4 linked regions of the Drosophila melanogaster genome follow. The protein of the gene in region 2 interacts with the protein of the main gene of each other region in a pairwise test. Each region holds a gene or a part of one and is shown on either strand. Other genes may lie near its edges.

The links.
Region 1: the proteins of CG30184 (region 2) and CG15212 interact in a two-hybrid assay, tested with the Drosophila melanogaster proteins (one large-scale study listed by BioGRID).
Region 3: the proteins of CG30184 (region 2) and CG30423 interact in a two-hybrid assay, tested with the Drosophila melanogaster proteins (one large-scale study listed by BioGRID).
Region 4: the proteins of CG30184 (region 2) and Sln interact in a two-hybrid assay, tested with the Drosophila melanogaster proteins (one large-scale study listed by BioGRID).

Annotation. Positions count from the first base shown.
Region 1 is NT_037436.4:5,128,285-5,133,250, forward strand, and holds CG15212 (uncharacterized protein), read left to right. Parts: upstream 1-3,260; 5' UTR 3,261-3,319; coding exon 3,320-3,337; intron 3,338-3,475; coding exon 3,476-3,649; 3' UTR 3,650-3,843; downstream 3,844-4,966. Other genes in the region: CG4597 (uncharacterized protein), read left to right, coding at 1,223-1,282, 1,339-1,956; CG15213 (uncharacterized protein), read right to left, coding at 4,614-4,784, 4,844-4,861.
Region 2 is NT_033778.4:23,562,199-23,567,232, reverse strand, and holds CG30184 (uncharacterized protein), read right to left. Parts: upstream 3,261-5,034; 5' UTR 3,155-3,260; coding exon 2,483-3,154; 3' UTR 2,453-2,482; downstream 1-2,452. Other genes in the region: Pi3K59F (phosphatidylinositol 3-kinase 59F), read right to left, coding at 3,421-3,866, 3,925-4,286, 4,361-4,634, 4,706-5,034.
Region 3 is NT_033778.4:24,873,113-24,878,340, forward strand, and holds CG30423 (uncharacterized protein), read right to left. Parts: upstream 2,754-5,228; 5' UTR 2,669-2,753; coding exon 2,653-2,668; intron 2,548-2,652; coding exon 2,547-2,547; intron 2,482-2,546; coding exon 2,226-2,481; intron 2,161-2,225; coding exon 2,053-2,160; 3' UTR 1,864-2,052; downstream 1-1,863. Other genes in the region: CG16896 (uncharacterized protein), read right to left, coding at 1-1,012, 1,075-1,188, 1,248-1,528; CG44247 (uncharacterized protein), read left to right, coding at 4,092-4,185, 5,027-5,228.
Region 4 is NT_033778.4:11,842,880-11,852,494, reverse strand, and holds Sln (silnoon), read right to left. Parts: upstream 7,172-9,615; 5' UTR 6,418-7,171; coding exon 6,385-6,417; intron 3,599-6,384; coding exon 2,632-3,598; intron 2,531-2,631; coding exon 2,078-2,530; intron 2,019-2,077; coding exon 1,413-2,018; intron 1,337-1,412; coding exon 1,210-1,336; intron 1,149-1,209; coding exon 767-1,148; 3' UTR 171-766; downstream 1-170. Other genes in the region: CG43190 (uncharacterized protein), read right to left, coding at 7,579-7,770, 7,829-7,981; S2P (site-2 protease), read left to right, coding at 8,542-8,616, 8,668-9,105, 9,173-9,615.

The sequences.
Region 1 (4,966 bases), on a different chromosome or scaffold from region 2:
ATGCATGTGCATTTTTTTATATGCGATGCGACTTTGCATTAGAGATGCGATCGTGATACAGTTCAATGCAATTCTATTAAAATTTAAATAAATATATATATTTTTTTTAATATTTAAACGTTTTTTGGTAAGACCCAATAACATTTGTTATACCCACCTGTGAGCACTTAAATTTTCCTTTCGTTTTAGTCACCTGCCCTCTTTCGATAGTCGCAACACGTGCCGAGTGCGATGCAAAAGGTCAGACATATGCAAACAAAGTACACTTTTTGCGCCATGTTTGCTATCTCTGTTCCCCCTTTATCCACTATGTACACCCCCTTTAAGCCGCCCAAGACCATCCCCTTCACACCCCCTTACCATTTGGTCAACTGGTGATGTTGTTGTTGCTACTGCTGCTTCTTCGTTGTAAAAGACATTGACATTTTTTTTTTGCTGACCGTTTGCTCAGTTGCTTTTCTCTGTACTTTGTTGTCGTTGTTTAATGGTTTTTATACATATTTTTTTTTTTTAGCCAGCTATTGTTGTTGGTAGCATCGCATTACGTCACTTTCACTGTAGTTTGCGGCTTAAGGCAGCCTTTCGGCTTTACGTTGTTGTTGTTGTTGTTGTTGTGTTGTTGTTGGCACTGTTTGCACTTGTTTTTGGTACAAACAAGCAAATTGCAATAAAAATGCTCGAAATTTATGGTCCACTGGCATACATACATTTTGTTTGGTATGATTTATCCGAGACTTTTGTTCGCCTTGCTTTCCGGCGGCACAATTTATGCCCGTTTACATGGTAAACTTTTGCTGTTTTTCCCAGTAGTTACCCGTTCATGCTTTTTGGTTCAAGTTCATCAGTTGGCCACCGAATTCGCAACTGGGATCAGGTTTTATGGTTATCGTCTTGATAGATGCGACGTTAAGTTCGCCAAGTTAGACTCGTATATCAGCAACTAGTTGGTAAACACTCATCACAAAGTTGATTTGAAAATATTTAACGCTGTAAGTTTGTTCATTGCGCATACGCCGTGTTAACATGTGGGTGTACCTACCACATTACGCATTCGCACCGTTTGCTCATAGAGCTGGGGCTTTGATAGATAAGAATCGGGCTGAAACAATGTCATTAGTCCAGTTAACGTGGCCTGACTAAACAAGCTAATTTCCCAGTTACCAAATGTCGGCAATTTTCGGTCAGTTATTTTGAATGAATCCAATCATCCGAGCATTAAACAATGTGGCCTCTGCAAAGTTTAGCTTTATTTTCATGTTTAGGAGCTCTTCAAGTGCACAGTGTGAGTTATTTAAATAAACCATAATTTTAATACATAAAGTACTACTTCTTAAGCAGATCAGACTGCGGCTTGAGCACTTTTATGTCAAATCTTTTGTACCAGATGATATGTTCGCGGAGTATGACATTGTCGACTATGAGAAAATCAATGTGAATCTCACAGTTCAAGTGCCCTTTCCTGGCAAGCTTCTCATCCACATTTTCGTAAGGAAGCTGTCAGATCAAGTTGGTGGTTCGAACTACTTCGATCTGATTCGCATGACGAACAAGGATCTCTGCAAGCTCCTCGATTCACTTCGCAATATTACAGTGGAGGAAATTCCGGGCGAAAGCCTTTTGCCCTCGACTTTTGTTGTCTCATGTCCTTTGGTTCCAGGCTTCTATTTTGTTGAGAATGGCGTTATTGATTCCAAACTGGTTCCTTTCCGCATTCCCGATGGCAGATACATGGTACTTTTTGAGCTGATACAAGTCTACGAGGAAGTTATGAAGCTGATTTCATGCAGAATCAAGTTTTCCATTAAGACACCACCTGGATACACGGAACCATCGCTGTTTAAAAATAGCGAGGAAAATAAAGCGACTGAGAAGCCAGTAGAGAAAACCGAAGAAGCAAGTACAGAGGTTACTCAGTCGAAAGAGGATAGTTCGGAAGTATCAAACGATTACGAATAATGTAATTTTTGTAACTTAAATTTTTTCAAATATATTATACATGGAGCCTCTCCCTTTTTTGCTAAATTTTTTCACCCAAAAAAACAATTTTTACACATTTTCTGCAAAATAGTACCATCTATCACCGAGTTTCGGGTGCGTAATAAAATTTATTATCTCCCACTAAAAATTCGCCGGGATTGAGACATATCGCACATGTTACAGCCACGCCCATAAATGTTAATTAAAAAACCCAGGGGCATGGGAAATATATCAAACATGAATTTAAACCGCGCGAGACAAGCCGACGACAAAGACTAACTCAAAGATATCCATTCAATCCAATCTTTTAATTTGTTGTCATGGTAAACTTTGTTTGTGATATCCATTCGACACGTATTTGTTTTTGTGGAGTACAAACTGTGGAATGTTTTTTTGAGCTGCGTTGACATTGTGGCGGCATTCTCGAAAGTTCGTTATTTACATATTTAGAGCAGGGCGAATGTTTCCGGTTTTCAGCTGCAAGATCGTCGTCAGCATCATCAATACTTGCACGATGACTGGGCAAAAAAAACACTTGGCCTCCGTACCAATCATATGTTGGTTTTTATACCATCGCCCAGCCCAAAATGGTTCCGTCGTTTAGCTTAACTTTTATTGATTTAGTATTCCACTCTACAGGCCTGACAGCTGTTCAAAGTGTCAAATATTTATGGATCCTCTGCTCAAGTGATAATTTATATTTTAATTGGCTTGACCACTGATCATTCGATCATTGGATCTTGAACTTCAGATTAACTTACCATTTGAATTGGGTGATCGAGGGGCTCTAGATACACTGAATTAGCAATTAAACTGCCTGGCATTACAATTTCCGCCTTCTTCCGGGTTTTGTTTAAATATTACTCCGCTGACCGCATTTGAGGTGACCTTCATTTGTCGATGTCTTCATTTACCCAGTCTGATTATTATTTAATCAACGATCAACTTCTTCAGTGGCTTAGCGAAGCAAACAAAAGATGCCACCACCAAGTAAACAGGGCAGCCTGGTTTTGCTGCTCGGTCCCGCTGCCGAAAAAATTGGCCCGAAAAAAAAAAAAAACAAAGCACCTGCCTCAACATGCCACGCCCCTTGAATCGTCTGCTTTTGGCCAGGTTTTTCTGTTTATACTTCTTTTTCGCTTACCGTCTTATTTATGCGAGACTCTTTTGTTTATGTATCGTTCATTTGTCCTCTTCTTCATTGCAAACTGCAGTTTACACATGACATTATCATCGATGGTCACCCAAAAGTTTGGCTATAAAAAGGCCTGATGCCAGATGGAGCCATGTGCAGTCGATATTTGGATTAATCAGCGTAATCATCTCCCCAGCAGCAGCAATCATGAAGTACCTAGCTCTGGTGAGTATTTGGATATAACATTTGGATTAATAATTGGATTAAATGATTTCCAATTAAGTGCAACATATGAAGTTGTTTGTTGAAGTATATTAAATTTTCAATTTGTACTAAAAATCTATTGTAATTCACATTTTTCAGACCATTTTCGTGTGCCTTATGGCCATCGCCCTCATTTCTGCCGTGCCCGTGGATGAGTCCCTGATCGGCGATAATATCTACCAGCCTGCCTTCGACGATGTCCAGCGTCCCCAGGATCCGCAGGCCATCTTCAAGCTGAAGAAGCTGCTCAAGTTGAAGAAGCTCCTGGGTTAGGAGAAATTCGCAATAAGCTTCGTTCAGATTCTAGTCCAGCCAATTGGGAACCTTGCCTCCCCCACTACATTCGATTTTCAAACCGTTTTGTTTAGACAATACCCAATAAGCACAAACACACAAACACACACAAAAGCACATACATACGAGTAAAGTATACGTAATCGTAACTAAAATAAATGTTATTTTCATACACGTCGGCTTTTCTTATATCATCGAAGCGTCGGGGATGAGATCTCCATGTGTGTCCAAAAAGGAGCTAATGACTGGCAGCGGGTCGGGTTTTTGTTTGCCTAGATCTGAATAAGAAACCCGTTTCGGATCGTTTCTGGGTAGAGAGTGTGAAAAGCGAACGGAATCTTCCTTACATGCGTATAAATATTGGCCAATCTCAGTCGTAAATGAATCAAGTGGGTTCAATGATGTGCTAATACAAGGAGCCCACTGTGAGATTAATGATCATACCTACTTTCATTAATTGGCATGATTAGTTAACTTGATATGCCAGTAATATTATAGCTTAACTAAATATAATATATTAAATATTTTCAAGTATCAAAATTATGTAAAAAGTAACGATAACTCATCACATATTGACATATTGAGAGCTGGTCACGAAAAATCGGACATGATTGCCATCAAGTTGAAGCACATGGTTCCAGCCTTTCAACTTACCATAAATTTTAACATTCAGGTGTATTAGTAGTATTAGGAATGATTTTAATGTGATCGTAAAAAAAGAAAATTATTTGGAATTGAAGGTTGGACCTCTTCAAACAAAAGACTTAAGAAGCGAACTTGTTTTTTTTTTGGGCACCATTTTGTTTTAACCTTGCAATAAAAAATGAATAAGTAAAGGTTTCGTTACCAAATACTTTCTTTAATTTCACTCTTGTTTTTCTTCTTAAAAACCTAAACACATGTTAAGTTAAACTATAAATCCATAAATGTGAGGGTGTGGTGTCTAGCCCAGGAACAGCAGCTTCTTGAGCAGCTTCAGCTTGAGCAGGAAGGATTGGTCGTCGGATGGGTTGACGGACTCACTGCCAGGACCTTCGAAGCCATCGGGAATGGCCTCCTCGCGAGGAGCAGCACTGGTGGCCATGAAGCACACGGCAAGGCAAAGGAAGACGCTCTGTAAAGGAAGGGTCAGTAAAGTTCCTTGGTATTCCGTGTCGATTTTTAGTGACGCACCAGGAGCAAGAACTTCATGTTGTATGTGGCTAGATGTATGTAGTAATCGATCGATGGATTCGCACTGCGCGTTGACAGACCTGCTTGCACTGATCACCAGACCCCGCCGACCCGTCTATTTAT
Region 2 (5,034 bases):
GGCAGTATGCAAAGCCTTCCCCCTTTTGGCACCGCGCAATATGGTTAATATGGCGCGACATTTCGTCCGCCGCCGTTCGCTCAGCTCGTTCGCTTAGTCAGCCCGCTGCGCTCGATGCTCGCGGGGCTATCCGCAGGGGCAGGGGGAGGGGTAGTGGGGAGTATGGGGGGCACTAAATGTTTAGTAACCAACTGAAATAGTAGCACTCGTGTTAGTATCGGTTCATGAAAAACGAACGGCAGCGAAATAGAATTGAACGAAAAATAAATGAGAGCCACTTCGGTTTACACAGAGTTTCGCATGTAGCTACACGACTTGCACTTGGATTTGAATATGAATGCGCCACAGACGGGGTCAGCATTATAGGGCCATCATATAGTAACCACATTGGGTTTGAACAATGGAGTAGAAGCACAAATACTAAGTTGTTGAATCTGAAATACGCTAGTAACAATCATATTTCAAGTATGTTCCTATACCATTTCGCCTAGTTGGCTGACCCCAGCTGTATCTGCATGATCAGGGGCGTGGCCAGAGGGGTGGCGGTGGAAAGTGGTAGCAAACGTCGTCAGCGTAAACTGATTACCACCGGACAATCTATGGAGCTGAACTAGCGGCACGTACACAGCGTTTTTGGGGCCAAAACCCGAGATGGGGGCTTACGGGGCTCCGGTGCTACGATGGGAACCTTCGTTTAGGGAGTTGGGTTCGTCGACGGCCCGAAAAGTTCCAGCTAAAAGCGACTGCACATAGGAAGTCGGAGTTAAGACTTCAATTACAATGGTGCACCACCCATGGGTCGATTGTGAAATTATAGACGAACCACCTTTGGGTTCCACGAATCCGAAATGAGGCGAAACGAAAAGAGTGCGCCAAAAGCCAAAAGCGATTACCAATTAATGGAACGTGCTGCCAGCTAAGATTCAACCACAATTACTACTATTTCCATATGATAAGTTCAACAAACAATGACAATTCTGCATGCATTGACTTCAAGTAAGTTAGCTAACTTACATATGTATGTATGAATCACCTATTTTTGCTCTAATTATCTCAGCCTTTGTATCTCATCGTAACGAACTCATCACCATAACGATTAATCTTATTCACTCAATCGACTCGGAAACTCGCCGTTTTATCGTTATCACCAGCCGGCTAAATTGTTGCGAAACATAGTTGAAATTCCGAGACTTTGGGCCCAACACCCACCGCAAACTGCACGTAGTGAAATTTAGCTGCCAACTAAACCAAACATGCTGCGATCTAGAAAATGTATCTTTCAGATGCACACGCTTTCCACACACACCCACACAACCCCAAGTGCGCACACATAACTCCAGCTTGGCATTCCAACTGACTTTGCACACCGAATGGAACACGTGCTGCATTTGGACCGGCTCGAAGGACCACGACCGGGGAATTGGGGCTAGCAGCGGAGGGCGGAGGGAGTGGATTGGGGCTGGGCCGCCTGGTGGTTCGGTGGCTCGATGGCTTGCAGCCACAGACAATAACAAAGGCCAAGTTGAGTGCAGTTGGCAGCGGTGAGTCATGCTCGCTCGCTCGCTCGCCAGTAGCACACCCACCCACTCACTCGCACTCGCAGCTGCAGTGGGCTCTCTTCGGGAAGAGTGGCATGTGGCATAGTGCTCCCGATAAGAGATTCCTGTTGCTGCTGCTACTATACAACATTGCACAGATCGAGTGAATTGTAAAGGCGAAAACGGGAAATGATGATTACACACTCAGTTTTCCGCCTCTTCCAAAGTCAGAATGGAAATTGGGAAAGTCCTAGAAATTGGAATTTCTTGAAGGGAAGAATTCCAATCTTCAGAGTTAGCCAAGGCCCACTGTGCCTTTCGTTTTGGCACGGCGTCTAAGTGTTCATATGCACATGGCCGCGAGTGTGCTAGTCCCGTTTTTTTTCGTTTTTTTTCGTTTGTTTGTGTTGCCTCGGGCGGCAACTTTAGTGGCAACGGCTAACTTTTAGCAAAAGTTTTAGCAACGAGTACCTGCAACTAACTAAAACCACAGGCACACAGACCCAGAGCTCGAGCGCCGCCCGCAGAAGTTTCCACCACGCATCGAACTATGAAAATCGGAAAAGTTTGCAGACAGAAATTTCCAGCCATGCATCCGCACAATGGCGAAGTGGACGACGCAGTGCGTTCCCCCCGCAACTCACCGCACCGTTCGCCATCGTCATTAAAGCTGGACTCCTCCGCAGGCTTAAACCAATGCAAAAATCCACAAAATCGACACAATTCCGGCAAAAGTAACGAAAATCACACGCGGCGCGCCAAACAAACTTCCAAGAACCAAAGGAACTGTAAACGAACAGCTGTCAAAGTGCGCGCGCTCCAAGAGACGGGGCTGTTATGCGGCGAACAGCTGATGGCGCCAGGGCTGCACAGCAGCGGGCTTTCAAAAGGCACAACTACAGTGAGCACACGAGCAGGTGAACGTTAATATTTAATTACTTGAGCTATTTGAAAACCTCCGAGTTCCTAATCCGCTCCTCCTCCCTCTCCTTGGCATCCGAGTCCGACTCGGAGGACGAGACCTGCCGCTTCCGGCCGGAATGCTCCGATGGCTGGGCGCTGGTCAGCATCCTGGCGGCGATGCGCCGAAAGAACCAGAAGCGACTGAGATAGGCCTCCGCGCCCCGGCTGATGAAGTACAGCTGCAGTGGTCGCTTGCTCCGCTGTGGATGCATCTTCTGATTCGCCCGACTGCGTGAGTGGGAGAACATGAGATCCAGAGCGAAGGTGCAGTGCATCAGATAAATGGCGCCGGCGTACAGAGCCACAATGGCGTTGTCCCGACAGCACGCATAGAAGCTGGGCCAGCGCTCAGTGCGGAACTCCTCCAAAGTGGCCACATACATGTTGGCGTACACGGTGACCATGTGCAGGCCACCCAAGATCCCACCGAACAGCGCCTCGTGCTTCATCGTCGGCCGCTCGGCGTAGAAAGCTCCAATCAGTGATATGAAGCATATGATCACCGAGCCGCCGTACGTTCCGCACAGCAGGAAGATGTGCGGCACACCCTCCTCCATGAAGCAGGTCCAATGGACGAGGCAGCAGCCCAGGCTCAGCAGCAGCTCCATCATCTTGAACAGGAACCAAACGGGCTTCTTGGAGCGCACCTGCATGTTTGCCCGATTAAATGGTTATACTACAATTGTGACAAGATATATAGTATATGTGGATACATTTGGTTCCGCACAACGGACTTTTAGCTACAGGCCACCTACGACTAAAGCAAACTTACGACTAGGATTTAAAGGATAAATAATATTAATAAGTATTGATAAGTATAAGGTATTAATCTAATGTACACTTTTGATGTTAAACAACTCAGCTGAACCGAACTAGGATTACTCGCTCCTCCCACAATTTCTTGTGCAAGCAATGTCCTCTACTTCCGCCAGTATTGGGTGAACCGATGAATCTGCTCCACCAGAGCCGGCATCACCGCCGTAATGGACACGTCCAGGAGGCTCTGCAAGTGCTGCACTGCCTCCTCGTCTGTGAGGCCCAGCTGCAGGTTCTCCTCCACCTTCTTGACCGCCTTGTCGGGCTCGAGAGCGATATCCGGCACAGTGGCGTCCACCATCAGAGAGAACAGGTTGAGCATCACGTTGGCATGCCGCCGCAAGTGCAGGTACGCCGTGTAGCACTGCTTGCGGAACTCGTGGTGATGCTCGGAGCTGATGCCGCCCATGGCCTCCACCATTTCCTTGCTCAGCTTCATTGGCGGCGGCATGGGCTTGGGATCGCGTCCCAGAATGTAGCCGAAATCGATGTGGAAGAGCTTGCCGTTGGTGGTCAGCAAGAGGTTGTCCAAGTGCCGGTCGCCCACACCTGCGAGGAAATTCCAAGGATTAGCGGAATCCACCTGGTTACACTCCTTTAGTCTCACCCAGCAAATAGGTGATCACACAGTAGCCCGCGCAGCTCTTGATGTAGGTGTCCATGACCTCCGCCGAAATGCCGTAGGGTCCATTGTCGCACGGATGATGCTTGCGGAAGAAGTTGTGGATGTTGCCCTCCCGCGCCAGCACCTCCGCCACGGTGCAGGAGTCGACGTACTGGAGGAAGCCGTGCTTGGAGCTGGTGGCCAGCACTTTGTAGGGAGTCAGCTTCAGGTCGAGGTTCTCGCGCCTCAGCAGCTTGTCCATCAAAGTTATCATCTGCAGGATGAGCTGATCCTGGCGCAGATCATCACCGTGCTTGAAAATGGCCGCGTACTCGTGATGGGCAATCGAAGTGACAAAGGTGAGCCTGCGAATAGGATTAAGGATTAGGATTGAAGTATTCAGTGAGTGAGTAGAGTTTGTTGGTTGGTCATGGCGTACTTGGCTGGCATCAGGGCGCTCTTGAAGAGCGATGTGCGCATGGGCACGATCTTGGTGATGTAGATCTCCGGATCCAGGGGAAACGGAATGGGCTCGAAGTTGGTGAAGTTCACCTTGAACATGTCCTGTTCGGCCAACAGTTTCTGGAACTTCTCAGTCTTCTTATTGCGATTTCCCGGCTCCTTGGCCACCAGTTTCACCAGTTTGACCAGCTCGTCGATGAAGCGCCGCTGCTTCCGGAGGTTGTAGAAGATGCCTCTCAGGTTGAAGTTGCCTGTGCGGATGAGCGGATTAGAGAATTAGGGAATTAGAGAATGAGCCATGATTTCGTTAAATTACACCCACCGTTCTCTAGCACCTTCAGAAACATCTTGAGCACCATGGCGTACATGTCGTGGGCCCTCTCGTCCTGCTTCCTCACCGACTCCACTTCCTCCACCTCGATGGACAAGTACCAGTAGAAGTAGTTGGCCAGCGTGGCGTTCGTGCAAGCGCGCTGGATCAGGAATGTGCAGAGATTGGCTGGAACACTGCCGAAGCTGATGCCCTCGGCCAGCATTAGGGCATTGGAGTTTGAGTCGCAGGGCAACGAGCTGCTGCCCGGAGTGGCGGGAGCAGAGGGGTTTGGCAGCGCAACCGATCCCTGACCACCACTGCCACTGCCACCCGCTGAA
Region 3 (5,228 bases), 1.3 Mb from region 2:
CGGCAGAGGATTCGGTTGTTTGAAAGTGGACTTCACCTGGCTGAGGCAGCGGATCTGAGCTTGCAGGGCGTTAAAAATGCGGCACGTGGACCACACATTGACTTCTCCGCAGCGAGACGTTACACTCAACAGCTTGCCATCCCGACTCAGACTCAAACTTCGTGCATTGGAGCGCTGCACAATTAGCTTGTGATCCGTATTGGCTAAATCCAGCATGACCGCTTGGTTTCTGGTGGTGATTCCAAACACTATGCGCTCCTTTGGCTGCGAGAGGAAAGCCATTTGGTGGAGAGTAAAGTCCGTCAAGCGGTACATCTTTTCCAGATCAAAAGAGGCCACGCTCAGCAATAAAAGATAGCCATCCAAGGTACTAAGGCACATCTTGTTGCCGTCGGGGGTGAAGCAGTAGCTGAGTAGCATTCCATCGGCAAAGTCGTAGTGCTGGCAGTCAAACGTCAAGTCCTCCTCCAAGTCACTGTCATCCGGGCTTCGGAGAACTATTTCCGGTATAGATTCTGCGGCTGGTAGCAGTCTCAGTTTGCGATTCCTGGCCTTGATAGGCTGGCCCATCCGCAAAGTGCTCAATGAATGCGAGGACCACACATGCAGAGAATCGTTAGAAAACCCTATAAAGAACTGGTCCGAGTGGGGCAGGAAGGCAGCGAACTTCAGCGTGTAGCGCGACTGATCGAAATCCAGCTGATGGGAAACCTCCAGAGTATGGAGATTCACCAGAAGTGCATCGCTGCCGAAACGCATCAGAGCGATAGAGGAGCGTGCATTCTGCAGGCTATTGCTCCAACTCAATTCCTCAAGCGCTGCGCTTCCCACTTCTCCGTCGACCCCAAGAATTGAGTTGTCCACGTCTATGGTGAAAATGTGGCCCGTTTTATTGCCTACAATGTAGTCGCTACCGTGCAGAGGGGATGGCCGAATGAGCTTGGCCTTGGGCATCCGGAATCCCAGCCGCCAGTAGCGTTTGCGTACAAAGTCAAAGACGAAAACATTGCCACTGGGAAATAAAAAAGACTGTTTAAAAGAGTATTACGTTATTGTTTCCCCTGTCAACCTTACCGCTTGTCTATTACCACCAGCTTGTTGCTAAGTTCGTTGAAGCAGCAGGCGGCAATCTGGATGCGCAGTGCCTGACCTGCTTCCTTGATCGTGTGGTGAACGGTTAGGACGTTCCTGGAATTCGCAAACTTCGTTGGCAACAACTCCGCAATGTGCCTAGAGCGCATACTCACCCAGATTCGCTTTGCTTCAGCTTAAAAGGGTACTTGCGCATAGGAGCATTGCTCAAAAGCACACTGCGCGCTGCCTCAGGCTGCGTGAGCGACACATCAGAATCTCCCGTGTCTGAATCCTGATCTGTGAATAGCTCCAACTCCTCCTCCGTGAAGTCCTCCTCCACGTCAGTGTTGACATCTCTATCGTCCTGCATCGAGTTCTCGATGCCATGAAGGGCCACCGAAGGAATACCCGTGATCTGTTCCTTCTTGATTTCAGATTTTATAATCCTGTCCATGTTATGGGCTCAAATGAGGTGTAACTCCATTTGTCAAAGGACGTGTACTTTCGCCAATGAAAAAAGGAACGCCACACCGCTATTCATTTATCCAGCAAGGATATTTACAAATTTGTATATTTAACAACTGAATGCTTGTTCCTAGTTCCAGTGCAGCCAAATGAACACCATCCAGGCTATTTTTTTTCGACTATAAATATTTCCAGTTCAATTAAGTGAGTGAAAACTGAGAGCTAATCCCTCCTTGATACGCCAGTGGAGAGAATTACTGCTTATGGAATAGTGGTTTAGATATCGATATCGAACCAGCAAAAAGAACCGGAACCAGACAATGTCTACTACGTCAGTTTATTTTGTTTGCGTTTATCTGGATACATTTGATTATATGAGATTTGTTGATGACTGCGGATAAGCGAACAGCATGCGTGCTTACGGATAAATGGCCGTAACCCTAGGACCCAGTGCATCGGTGATATTCCTGCGCCGGTTACTAGCCTAGTGAGCTTGTGAACTACAAATCCCCTCTAGAACATGGATCCGTATGGCTCGTCATCGCGCATGGCGTACCAGAAGATGGTGCCGTAGTTAATAATGTTACTTATTATCGTCAGGATACTCGCCGTCCAGGTGATCTGTTAAGAATGACATCGCGTGTTTAACACTCTTAAAATCCCAATAGCTCCGTGTGTCCACTTACCACCAATGCGTGGGCTAGGACGATGGGCAGGGCGAAGGCACTCAGCACCATTCCCGCGGTAAGGAAGTGAGCAAACTCCGATTTCGGATTGGTCTCATTTCCAGGAGTTGTCCTCCTGGCAATGAAGACTGGAAGAACTGACAGCACGTAGAACAGCAAAACGAAGAAGGGATAGAAAATCTTTGTCGTGGGCACGGCGCAGGCCAGGATCAGGAAGGTAACACCAATGCATGTAAGAAAGGCGCAGATGAAGAGGCTGCACAAAGAGGGGAATCATTATCAGACGGTTGGCTGCAGGAGTGGGTGTAGTTGTAGACATACGCTGTGTGATGGTTTCAAAAGAGGCGTGTAGCGGGTTCCAGTTGGTGTTGATGTAGGCGAAGAATGTAAGCCATTAGATTTGCTAGAGACTGTTGTGCATAATTACCCTTTAAGGTGGCCATTGTATTTGTTTATAATTTTTCCTTTGTCGCTCCTAAAAATGACTCAGATGTGTAGTTCCAGATGAACCAGTTCATCAGTATGACCGAAACATGACCATTCAAAATTATTTAAACGTAATATACCGATTCTAGTATATACCGTTAAAAATAATTTATTAAATTCGATTTTAAATTCTTCCAGGTCTAATTAAATGTATTTTCAATTTATATGCTAATTTTCTCCGAACCTCCATGAAATGCTTTATTAAAGGACTTACCTTTGGTTTTTAAGTTTTTAAAAGCTTTTTTATTAAATGTCTTTTAAAAGTCCGTTTATCAACGACTAATCAATGAAAAGAAAGCAAGGAAAAGATGAGTATTCCCCGATAATCTGTTACGAAATCATTTCGCGTAAGAATCCGAGATCCACTTGGGGGTATTTCTCCCAACCGATTCGGACATCAGGACCAATGCTACACATACACTATTCGGCCTACCATAACTCCCGCAGTCCTTTGCCGGTGAGAAAAGCTCTTTGGCTGCCAATTCATTGATAAAAATTAAGCACGCCCTATCCCAAGCGAGGAAGCTGGAGGAAAGGGAGGGTTCTCCCAAAGCGGGCGTGGAGTTGGCTGACGGGGCTTCGGAATTCGTGAGTGGCAGCCACCTGCTAGCTGGCCGAGAGTCTCCTTGGCCTCGTCTCGGCTCTTTATGAATGCCCGTGTTTACTCAAAGAATAAAGGAACGGACGTGCCGAGCTTTTCAGCCCCACTGTGCGCATGCGCTGCTTTTGACTACTGTGCCCCTCTGGTTGTTGTTGTTGCTGCGCGGCCTGCCCTCAAAAGCTGCCCGCAACATTTAACAGCGCGGGGGCGAACCTAACATTTGCGTCACAGCTTCTGCTTCTTCTCGGGCTTTTTGCCGCCGCCAGGCTCATTCAGTTTCTTCAGTATAACGGTATACGTCGACAGCGGAGCAACGCAGCCCAGGAGTCGAGTCCCATCCGCATATATCCCCACAGCCATATGTCCATCTGAGCTTCTTCGCCAGCAATCTGTGAGAAAAGTGCACCATTTGACATTTTAACCACCCGGTAGAGTGCAGCATAACCTTTGCTAGGACACCTAATAACCCCCAAAAATCCTCGAGAAGTGCAGTTGGCGCAGGTTACTAGCCAGAAATATTGCACGCCCACGCGAAAGTGCAAAAGTTCGGGGAGCAACCACCAGCAGCTGCCAATTGGATATATTCGCAAGTGTGTGCGAGTGTGGGTGTTGAAAATCAATAACCCTCGTCGACGTCGTCGTTCTAGCCAAAGCCCCATTAACCGGCCATATGGCAGTGGTGGCAGAGGTCGTGCAGTGCTAGATAGTTCCCATTCGAAATTGATTTCTGAGGTCTCGAGAAATCCGCAAGTGGGAGTGCATTTGGTGGCAAGTGCAAGATGGCGGCTCGCCTGGAAATCACCGTTAGCTTGGCGCTCGCTGCAACGCTACTGTGCAGCATATTGGGTCATTGCGAAATGTCCGTTTACCCAGGTAAGCCTAAAAATAGCGCACTACACACCCATTCACCTATAAGCCCGTACACCCATGTACCCACACACGCAGCCTGAGTGTTCGGGCTTGAATGGCGCAGGAGGAGCGAAAGGAAAGGAAAGGAAAGCTGCCACCTCGATTTGTGTATCCCCTGCACTAGATACATGCATGGCGAGTCCTGCGAAGTGCTCCGAATCAAACCAAAACACCCACGCTCATTGCTTCGGCAAAACTAAAAAGTCAAGCCAACTGCAGCGTCGTAACTACATAAATACACATAAGTGGTAATAACGAAATTCTCCACTCGAAATTTACATTCATATGTATGCATTTGGTATAAATATATGTAATATGGATTAGCTACGATTTTCGTAGCATACATTTAAGCGCCTTAAAGCTTTTCCGTTCATCCCAACAGCTATAACAAATACTTCCTTGATACAAGCGCAACAATGGGCTGAACACGACGAAAACAACAAAGTGCGATGGAATTGCCACGCACGTCACAGACTTCGGTTCCCAGTCCTCCGACTGTATGTTGGTCTCCCTCACTCTGCGGGAATTGCTCGGGTTGACCTGGGCGCGTGTGTAATTGGTCTATTTTTAGCCTCTGGCAATAAAACGAACTTTTGTTTGTCTATTTCGAATCCTTTAAGGCTGTAGGAGGCAGACCACCGCATTTCGGCCATTCCATCTATTTCTATTTCTATTTCGACTTCGATTTCACTTTCTATTTTCCGATCCCTAACACGCAGCCCAGGCTCATTACCATTACCATAATCATCTGCCCGTGCCCACTAATCCGATGACATTGATACGATTCGAATCCGAATTCTTGCAGGATTGCGCCGCCGACCCATTCAGCCGCCTGTGATGGATCCGCAGAGTGAGCAAGAGTATGCTTTTCTGGCCCAGATGATGGAGCAGTATGCCCGCCGTCGGCTGCAGCAGCAGTTCGACCAACAGCTGCACGAAATCAACCTGAAGATGGATCGTCAGCGGCAGCTCTTGGAGCAGGAGCGGTACCGCCAGCGGCAGCAGGA
Region 4 (9,615 bases), about 12 Mb from region 2:
TTTTCTTTAAAAAGAGATAAATTCATTCATAAAAAAAATTTTTTAAACGTGGTTGAAAAATCCGTTTTTATTACGAATAAAAAAAGAAAGGACTTTATTTAATAACATAAACGAATGCAAAACCCAAACCAAGCGAAATCATTCCCTTTAATTCCATAAAACGCGATTAACCTTTTGATTTCGTGTTTATTTGGTAATTGTCTTTATGGGTAAATGTCTCACAACAACTATTTTAATTCTAGGGTAATGTAATGTGATGTTCTCCATTCAAGCCTCCCTTCTGTCTAAAGCCACTTAATTTTTCCTGCACAAAGTTTAGTCCTTTCCGATATGGATGTGCGAACCTACAACTATAGTCGGCCTATATAACCATCTAGTCGGGCATTGATCGTAGTTATCATATTATAAAGTTATATACGGGTATTTGTAGTTCATGTCTTTTAAACTCAGTTCTTTTTGCGCAACATTTGGTGCTCAGTTGTTGGTTGTTTAGGTTGTTTGGTTTCTTCGTTTGAATATCATCATCTTACACATCCTTTTGCTGTTGCTCAACGGAAGGATAACAAGCGATTGGGTGCGGGTGGGCATGGGGATTGATTAAGATACAAAGATACGGATGAGAACGTACGGATAGTAGTAATAGTAACTGGTAGAATCAGCAATATCGGTGAGGCATTCGAACTCTGAAACTCAGGAACTCAACTAGTATTTGATCGCTACTAAAACACTATTAACATATGGGGCAACCAACGAATCCGAATCATTTCTAGGCCTCCTCGCACTCCTCCTCCTCGCGCTGAACAAACAACCGATGGTTGCGGGCCTCCAGGATGGACCACACAATCAGCGGAGTGGTCCCGAGCACCATGCAGGATCCCATGCAGTAGAAGCATATCTCGTAGTCTCCGGAAAGGTCTCGCATCAGTCCTGCCAGCGGAGGCACCGATATGGCCCCGATGCTCTGGAACATCCTCACCAGCCCGTAGCTCGAGCTGATCCTGTCCGTGCCAAAGACGTCCGCAAGGAGGACCGGCATAAGTACATACCAGCTACCCAGGCAAAGTCCGTAGACAGCGGCCGATAGACCCACCAAAACCAGAGTCTTGGCGAAGGGAATTGTGAGCACGGCACATCCGGCGCCCAAAATGCTGTCGATATAGGGAAATGTGATTAGTTTGGATCGAAAAATAAACCTTATCTGGTACTCACCACAAGGTGTAGGTCTTCTTGCGATCGAATAGCTGCAGGTCGCACAGCCAGCCAAGTCCAAGGCGCCCAATTAAATCTAGGACCGCGCTGATGGCCACCAGGTATCCCGCCTCACTTTTATTGTATCCTAAAGATGAACCAAGTTTATAATATTTAAAATCGTACGCCGAAAGAATATACTTTGAACATTTTAAATAGTATACCTATTGAAATAACGTGGGCGGGCAGATAGTACAACATGTAGGGACAGCCGACGGACATCAAGGTGACGGATAGGCACATCAGGATAAAGCTCGGGTCCTGCAGCAGACTGATGTCCAGGTACATCTCGATGCGCTCGCAGCAAGTGCGTGGTCCCCGCTCTTCGTCGTCATCGTCATCCTCATCGGCGGCAAGGTGGCCGTCGCCATCGATAATGGACTCCACCAGCTGGGAGTCTAGAATGCCGAGCTCCGCCTGCTCCACCGGCTGCTGCTTGAGATCACTGAGGTTGCTAACCGGAGTGGGTATCTCCATGCTCTTGCTGAGTCCGCGACTGACCACACTCGGCGGCGAAAGAGGCTTCTCCAAGTGGGCTTGTATCTTGGATATCACCTCGTCGTTGGCAAAGACATTGCGCCGACGACGACTTCCGCGATTGGAGTCCGTGCCGGAGTGCTTGCGATAGACCCAAGTGGAGTCCGTGCTCAGATCTTCGACGGAGTGCAGCAATCCGGAACTGCGCACCTTCTTCATGGGCTTGATGAAAGTGGTCTCGCCAATAATATCCTTTACCTCGTCGTCACTCTCCTGCGCTGACTTGTCCTGGGCTAAGTAACCAAATGGGATTTATTATTTGGAGTTTTCCTCGATGAAATAATACTCCCACCTGGCTGCTTGCTGGCATAGTAGTTCAGGTGGTTCTTGGACTCCTCCAGGAACAGATGCTCGATAAACTTGTCGCTCAGCTCGTGGCCTGCACCCACATCGCAGGTGTCTAGGTAGGTGGATGTAGTCAGAATGCCCGTGGTGCTCGGATTGATGTCTTCGTTGAGGGGCTTTGCCGTCTCCTCCTGTCCCTGGCCCGAGTCCTGATCCGTGTAAGCACTGATTGGGCGGTAAAGTGTGGCCGAAACGCACACGTGAAGCATGCAACCGCCCAGGATCAGAATAGTGCCGTGGAAGCCACAGTTCTCCGCGAGGTGCTTTATCAGAACGGGTAGGATGAAGCTGCCGGCGGCAGTGCCCGAAACGCAGATTCCATTGGCCAATGCACGGTGCTTGTCAAAGTATTGGGACACTATCACTATGCCCGGAGTAGTCGAGAGGCCACCTCCAATACCTGGGCGTGAAGAAATAGTTAAATATAAACATCATGATAACTAAATAAATATAATTACTAATGTGATGAGGATAAATTTAAATTGATTATACATTATGCACCTGTGAGTACGCCAAATGTTAGGAGGAGGTGCAGCAGACTGGTGGCAAAGTAGCTCAGTATCATGCCCATGGCGCAGAAAATGCCGCCGACGAAGACCACCGTTCGGCAGGAGAATCGCTGGCAAAGAGCACTGGACAGCGGGGCCAGGACCAGACATAGAGCCGACAGGATCGCTGGAATCCAGGAGGCCACGGTGGCCGTAGAGCTGGGAAATGTCTCCATAATCTCCACATACAGCACGCCGTACGACTTGACCAGTCCGGCCACCCAGAATTGCACGGAGAAGGCCCCAAAGACGATGAACCAACCGTAACCGCCGTCCGGTGGCTCCACATTCGGACCACCGCTCTCCGTTGTGGTCGTTGAGGAGTCCCGATCCTTGACCACTTGCTTGCTACGCCTGGCGACGGTCACGCGATCCCGCTCGCGCTCCTTGGCCCGGCGGACGCACCTGCTGCGGGCCGTATTCAAACCAGATCCGGAACCTGAACCCGACTTCCGACTGCTGCGAAGCTCATGCGATTTGGCAATCAACGGTCGCGCCGTGATGCTGGACACGGTCAGCAGGTTCTCATTGTCGTCCTCCTCCAGCTCGGAGATCTGATGCTCCAGCAGGCTGGCGTGCAGGGTCCTCGGGCAGCATTGCGTGTCCAGGCTGAGGGTGGCGGGTCGTCGCATGGGCGAGGCGTTGGGTGAACAGCATCCGGAGCGGAAGGCGGCGGACTCCATGTGTTTGCCATCCATCTCGGTGGGCACAACGATGTCGGGCAGTGGAGCCGGCGGCGCTGATACCACCGAGAACAGGGAGCCGCATTCGAGGCCGACTCCGCCACCGGACCCGTCCACGCCCGCCCCTCCGCCGGAGCCCTCAGCCGTCTTCGTGTGGAGAAGGCACCCTCCCGACTCGTACTGGACTCCACCAGTTGGGTCCGGTTCACTCGCGCAGTAAACCGATCCCCGGGAACCCTGCGAAAAACATAAATAGTATTTTTGTATCGTTAAACATTAAATATGCTGGTTATCTAGTGCAATATTTAATATAAATCTATGAAAGTGTGTTTAAGATATGGAGTATGGAGTATGGAGGGATGTTTTTTTTAAATAACAATTAAATAACATAACAAGTTAACGAAGTAAGCAACCCAAGAAAATGGGCCAATTTAATTGCGAAAGTTCTTATCAAGTAGTAGACATCAAAAGTTAATGTCCCAAATTGGCGTGCATCCAAAAATTCCGCCTCCGCCGTAGCATTCAAAAATGGGTTAAACCCCGTCAGAAATCCGGGGCTGTTGACAAATCGACTGGAGGCGGGTCAAGGAAGCAACAACTTAGCCCAATTTGCATTGCTAAACGAAATGCGAGGAGCGCACGCGATCTGCCGCCTTATAGACGACATCGCTGCAACGACCTAATGTATGCAATACGTTTTGTTTAATTGAGTTAACATCCAGTTCCTTCCCGATTCCCGCTCCGCTGGGCTATGTAATTACCCGCGGACCGAGCGGATTTTCTTGTTATATGTACTTTGTTAAATCGATGCCAGGCTGCAGGTGCATGCTGTGCCTTGCGGGCTGGCATGACGTCTGGGAATTTTCCATTTGTCTGCGGGATCCGCTGCCACTTCCTCCCACGAAACCTCCATTTTCCGACGACTCAGGGTCAAGAGCGAGGTGGGTCTGGTCTGGCATGCGGTTGCCTTTCAGCACTTTTTTAGTTTCTGTCTTTGTTGCCGGAAATTGATGGGGGGTTCGATTGGCCCCAAAGGAGCAGTGGTGGGTGTTTGCTCCAATCCAAGGACGATGCAATGCTCGAACCGAAGGCTAATGCCAGGAAATATACCCGTGCTGATAAGACGCCAATCTTTGCCAAGCCCTCGTAGAAAGGACACAATTGGAAAGCAGTCAAAAACGAAATTCGGTAAGTTGATGTAAGGTATTATTGGGTTTACAGCCATGCCAACAGCTCAACTATACATACTAACTAATATATACATTTAAAACTTTATGTTATATGTGCACAGTTAATATTTTTACCTCATATTGAACTATTCCTAATTAGATTTCAACACCTGCCCCCTTAATATTTATGTGCTGTCGCAATCTTATTGTTATAACCAACAGTTCGTAATAACTCATTTCCTAATAGCTTCTTATTTCGCACTTAGTTGTCCCGCTCCCACCTATTTCTTGGTACTTCCAATGACGTACGTATACGAAATATGATACATTGCTGGCATCAAATATCAAGTATGCGACGTGTGTGCCCATTAGAAAGAAGGATTGGTGCCCAACGCTGGTTAAACCTATGCACAATATATTAGGTGAAGCGCTCTATCCTTAGTCAACCTTTTTATTTGCTTTTACTTAAGTATCCTATCTAAGCATGTCAGTTCTTAATGAGCAAATAATCAATAATTATTATAACGAATAAATATTGCATGGTAAATGTAACAAATCATAACATCACTTATGCTTAATAAAGCCAAGTAAATTTATATAATTGAATTCTAACTTTGAAAGTAAATTTAATAAATTTGTCTTTTGTTTACGTGGCATGTCATTTGTCGAACTTCGTGCCGCTTATGAACTGTCAGCCATATTGATGGTAGAAATATGCCAAATAGATGGCATGCAATATTCTTGAACGAGTGCAAAATGCAGTCACACATCTGACACGACTAATGAGCGTTGGCCAACTCTTGGCATTTGGCAACTCCCCCTCAAGAGCATGAGTCACAGCATCCTAGAGCCAGTGACCTTGTCGAATGTCAAAGGCCCACGTCGCCGTGGCATGCGATGGTATACGATATCCTGGACGCCAAGAACCCCCAAGACCACCCTCTGCTGTCAGCTGGAATCCGGCTTAAGCTGTCAGGAAGCTTTCGCTGGGGCAGCTCTGCAATCGCTGGTTGTTTTCAATTTCCCAACATTTCAAGGCCTTTGCCAGCGCTTAATGAAACGGAAGAACCTTCCCCCGGGCCAAGTTAGTTGGCGCTCGTGTGTGGGCCTGAACGATAAGCGGTCAAGGTGAAAGGGGTGGCCTCAAGTCGGCTGGTCGAGGGTGGTATCTAGTCGGGGAGGGAATCTAGTGGGGAGGACTTGACGCACAACTTGTTGAGCCACCCGTAATTGCTAGCCCTCCGTAATAATAGATATTAGGTTGCACAGGCCTAGGCCAATTAGTTCACCCAATCAGCAGGACATTGATGCTTAAGTGTAGGGATGCTGTACTCCCATATGCGAGTGTAAACACCTACTTAAATTTGGCTCAAAATTCATGTTTTAAGTGTTTACAAAATCAACGATTGTAAGTGTAAGTATAATTATAAGCATAATAAAAAGTTACTTTTCATTTGTGTCAAAACTAGTAGAAATGAACACTTCTATTCGATTTAATAGGTGTCATTAAAGGTCAACACCATGCCACGACTGAACTTTGGCTTGTGGTTTTCGGTCTTTCCATCAGCAGTCGGGGCATGTATTGTTTACTTTCTTGTCCCCGTTCTTCTAAAGCGACTAAGATGGATGCAACTTGTGACGTTGACCCATTCTCCTGTCGCTTGCAATGTTTACGTACTCGTAAAACACTCTCTGGTCCAGTGCGCATGCTCACCAGAGGAACCCAAACTCCAGCTACCTCAATACGATTGCCATTGGCCCACTCCCCAGAAAAGGCAGCGAGGAGGAATCAAGGGGGATGGTTCCTGACCTTCCCAAAGTAAGGATAATGGGATGCTGGGTAGTACTACTCACCTGTAAATGCCAGTCACGCTGTAGGGACGACATTGCCGTCCTTTACTGAACGTGAAACGCCTTTGATGTTTCTCTTGTTGCTCGCGCTGTTGTTGTTGTTGCTTGGGGCGTTGTTGTTGTGCACCCAAATGCATTGGGTTGCCTCTGCTTTGGGTCCTTAAAGTCCTGAAGAGCTGACGTTCGCGGGCCTTCACCGGTTGGCCCAAAATAAATACTCTCTTGCTACTGCTGCTTCTGCCGGAACGGCTCCTTTGGCACTGAATCCTTTGCGGGTTCGTCTTGATGGTTTGTTCTCCGAATCGATTGCGATTTTCGTTCGCTTTTTCTTGAGGGCTTCCTTGAGGAACTTGTATGGGTTTTCCTAGGGGCAATATCCTTGCTGCTCTGGCGTCATGATGCGTTGATGTGACACACAGTATTCCCTGTTACTATTGTTTATGCAGCAGCTGTTTCCGCTTCCGCTTCCTTGTCGCCCCCTTCCGTATCCGTTTTCGGCACAAGCGCACTCTCTCACTCACTCGCTGGCGAATATGCAGTTTTTGGAACAAATCGATATGGGGCGAGATTCCAGCTGAAGTCCTTTGTTCTTAGCTTACTCAATCACAATCGAACGAATTGGATCCTTCCAGTGAGTTAAATTGGTTAAAAATACGCCTGAAGCTATTGAACACTTTCTCTGATTGGGAAAACCCTTTGCAAAAGCCTTTTTATTTTTCGTGAGTACTCTTCGTTTGTTGCCCTTTTTGGCGGATGCGACTGTTCTGCTGCTGCTCAAGCTCACGACTAAACTGATGATACTCATGTCCTCTGGAGGTCCATTGAAAACCCAACTCAGTTAAGGTGAACTTGGTGGTGGTGAGTTTCGGCATGGAAAAAGGAAAAACAAGAGTAAGAGGTCCTCTCTTCCTTTCCATTGGTTTTCATCCGTTTTGTTTTGCTAGGTTCTTTTGGCCGCCTGTTGCCAGAACCACCTACTTTTATTTCTGAAAACAGCTGATGAATGAATTACGAATTGCCTTACGAATTAAAGTCACACAAATTTAACAAATGTAACTTTACAATTTCTCATGCTAGATTTTCATATACCTATAATTTTTCAATTTTAATCAAAGTAGGTGTATTCGTTGCTCTTGATTACTGCACGGCAAATTTATAATATAAATCCAAAACTAAACGAGAACACTTTGCATTGCTCTATAGAGAAGTGCGTAGTTCTTCCAGGCTTTTGGTCATGTTCAACGCCACTCCAAGAAATATAAAGCTGATGGCCACAGATGAGAAAACGGCAGCCGGTAGGTTCTTGAGTAGCCACTGCAGGATCATCGTGTAGACGGCAATGGCCATGAGCAGCATGCACATGTATGGATAGGCCAGCCATTTAATGAACTGCAAAATCACAGGATTCTTAAGAATATTTCCTCAATTAATTTTGCTTCAGGTTAACCTTCCAAACTGCAATAATCAACAGGAGCGAGGATAATGCATAGAGAGCCGATCCGGTGGTCCACACAATCTTTACCGCTTCAGAGACACCTGATAAACTGGTCATGAAAAGATAGCCGGCAGCCACGCCCGATATACAGGATACGCAGGCCATAATGGAGACGATCAGCCTGCAAGTCGGCAAAAGTCTCTTATATGAGAATTCCTGTTCGCTCATGTGTTTGATGTATTTTAAGTCACTTAACACAATGGATTTTGAATTTTTTTATATTGAAAGCAAATCATTTTCATAAAAAAATTTTAATTGTTGTTTTTGAGTTGTTCAACAGTTTTCTTTGTTTGACGTTGAATAGTTGAAAATGTTCAAAACTTTCGCGCCCAAATAAGCTTGCTTATCGGTATTATTGATAAAGCGGCCATCGATAAGTTCTGCAATCGATTGCGATTAGCTTTTGGTATTTCGATTTTTTACGCAGGTTAATTTGCGCACAAGATTCCCAGACGTGATTAATGCTGATTTCTGGTCTGGACTACACAGCATTGCTGGTATAAGGAGTCGGGACCAGAGGAGTAAGATTTCGGGAAGGAATCCCGTCCGGTAGGGACTACTAGCATTCGCAAGTGACGTCCAGCAACCGGAGGACCCCCAACTGTAGAATCCGCATCACCATCCTAATCCCAACAAACCAATGACATCTTGAGACCTCACCAGCCATGGATCCCTTCGTGTTCTTCATAGTACTGGCATCGCTTTATGGCGTTCTTTACTTTTTCGACCGCTTCTTCAAGGTGTAGTATATCCAGCCAAAGTACGTCCAGATACTTAATGTAATCCCTTAGAGTTGCATGCACTACCCGTACGATGCCTTCCTCAAGAACACCGGGCTGAGTATAAATTTCATGAGCCTCCACTGGCACACGAGTGCCTTTAACAGGACCCTCCTACGCTGGGGATCTGCCGGTAACAGCTGCACCCGGAGAGTAATGATCACCAGCTTTAATGTAGGAGTCCTGGTCACCTTTTCTCTGCTCCCGATCGGTCTGATCCTGCTCATTGCCACTATCTTCAGCAGTGGTGAACAAGACAGCTCTTCGTCTGTATCCTCGCCCGTTGGAGTCCCTGTGCAGCTGGAAATTCTACTGCCCGGCGTCAACTTGCCGTTGGAGGAGATCGGATACTACATCACAACCCTTGTGCTCTGCTTGGTGGTGCACGAGATGGGACACGCCCTGGCCGCTGTGATGGAGGATGTGCCTGTCACCGGGTTTGGAATAAAGGTTAGAATGATATAGCGTACTTTACAACCTAATACGCTTACTAATTAGGTAAATATTAATATTTCAGTTCATCTTCTGCCTGCCGTTAGCATACACGGAGCTCTCCCACGACCACTTAAACAGTCTACGTTGGTTCCGCAAGCTACGTGTTCTGTGCGCTGGAATCTGGCATAATTTTGTGTTCGCTGGCGTGTGCTATCTCTTAATCTCAACGGTGGGAATCACTATGTCACCTTTGTACGCTTACAACCAACACGTAGTGGTCACTGAACTAACAAGGAAATCCCCGCTGAGGGGAGAGCGCGGCTTGCAAGTGGACAATCAAATAACCCAAGTAAACGGCTGCCCAGTAAACAGCGAGGAGAGTTGGGTGACATGCCTGCAGAACTCTCTGAAGCTCAAGCCGGGCTACTGTGTGAGTGCGGACTTCGTGCAGCTTAACGACGAAAGCAGCGCCATCTCACATCATAGCATTGATGGTCAGCTACAGTGCTGTGATGAACTAAATCC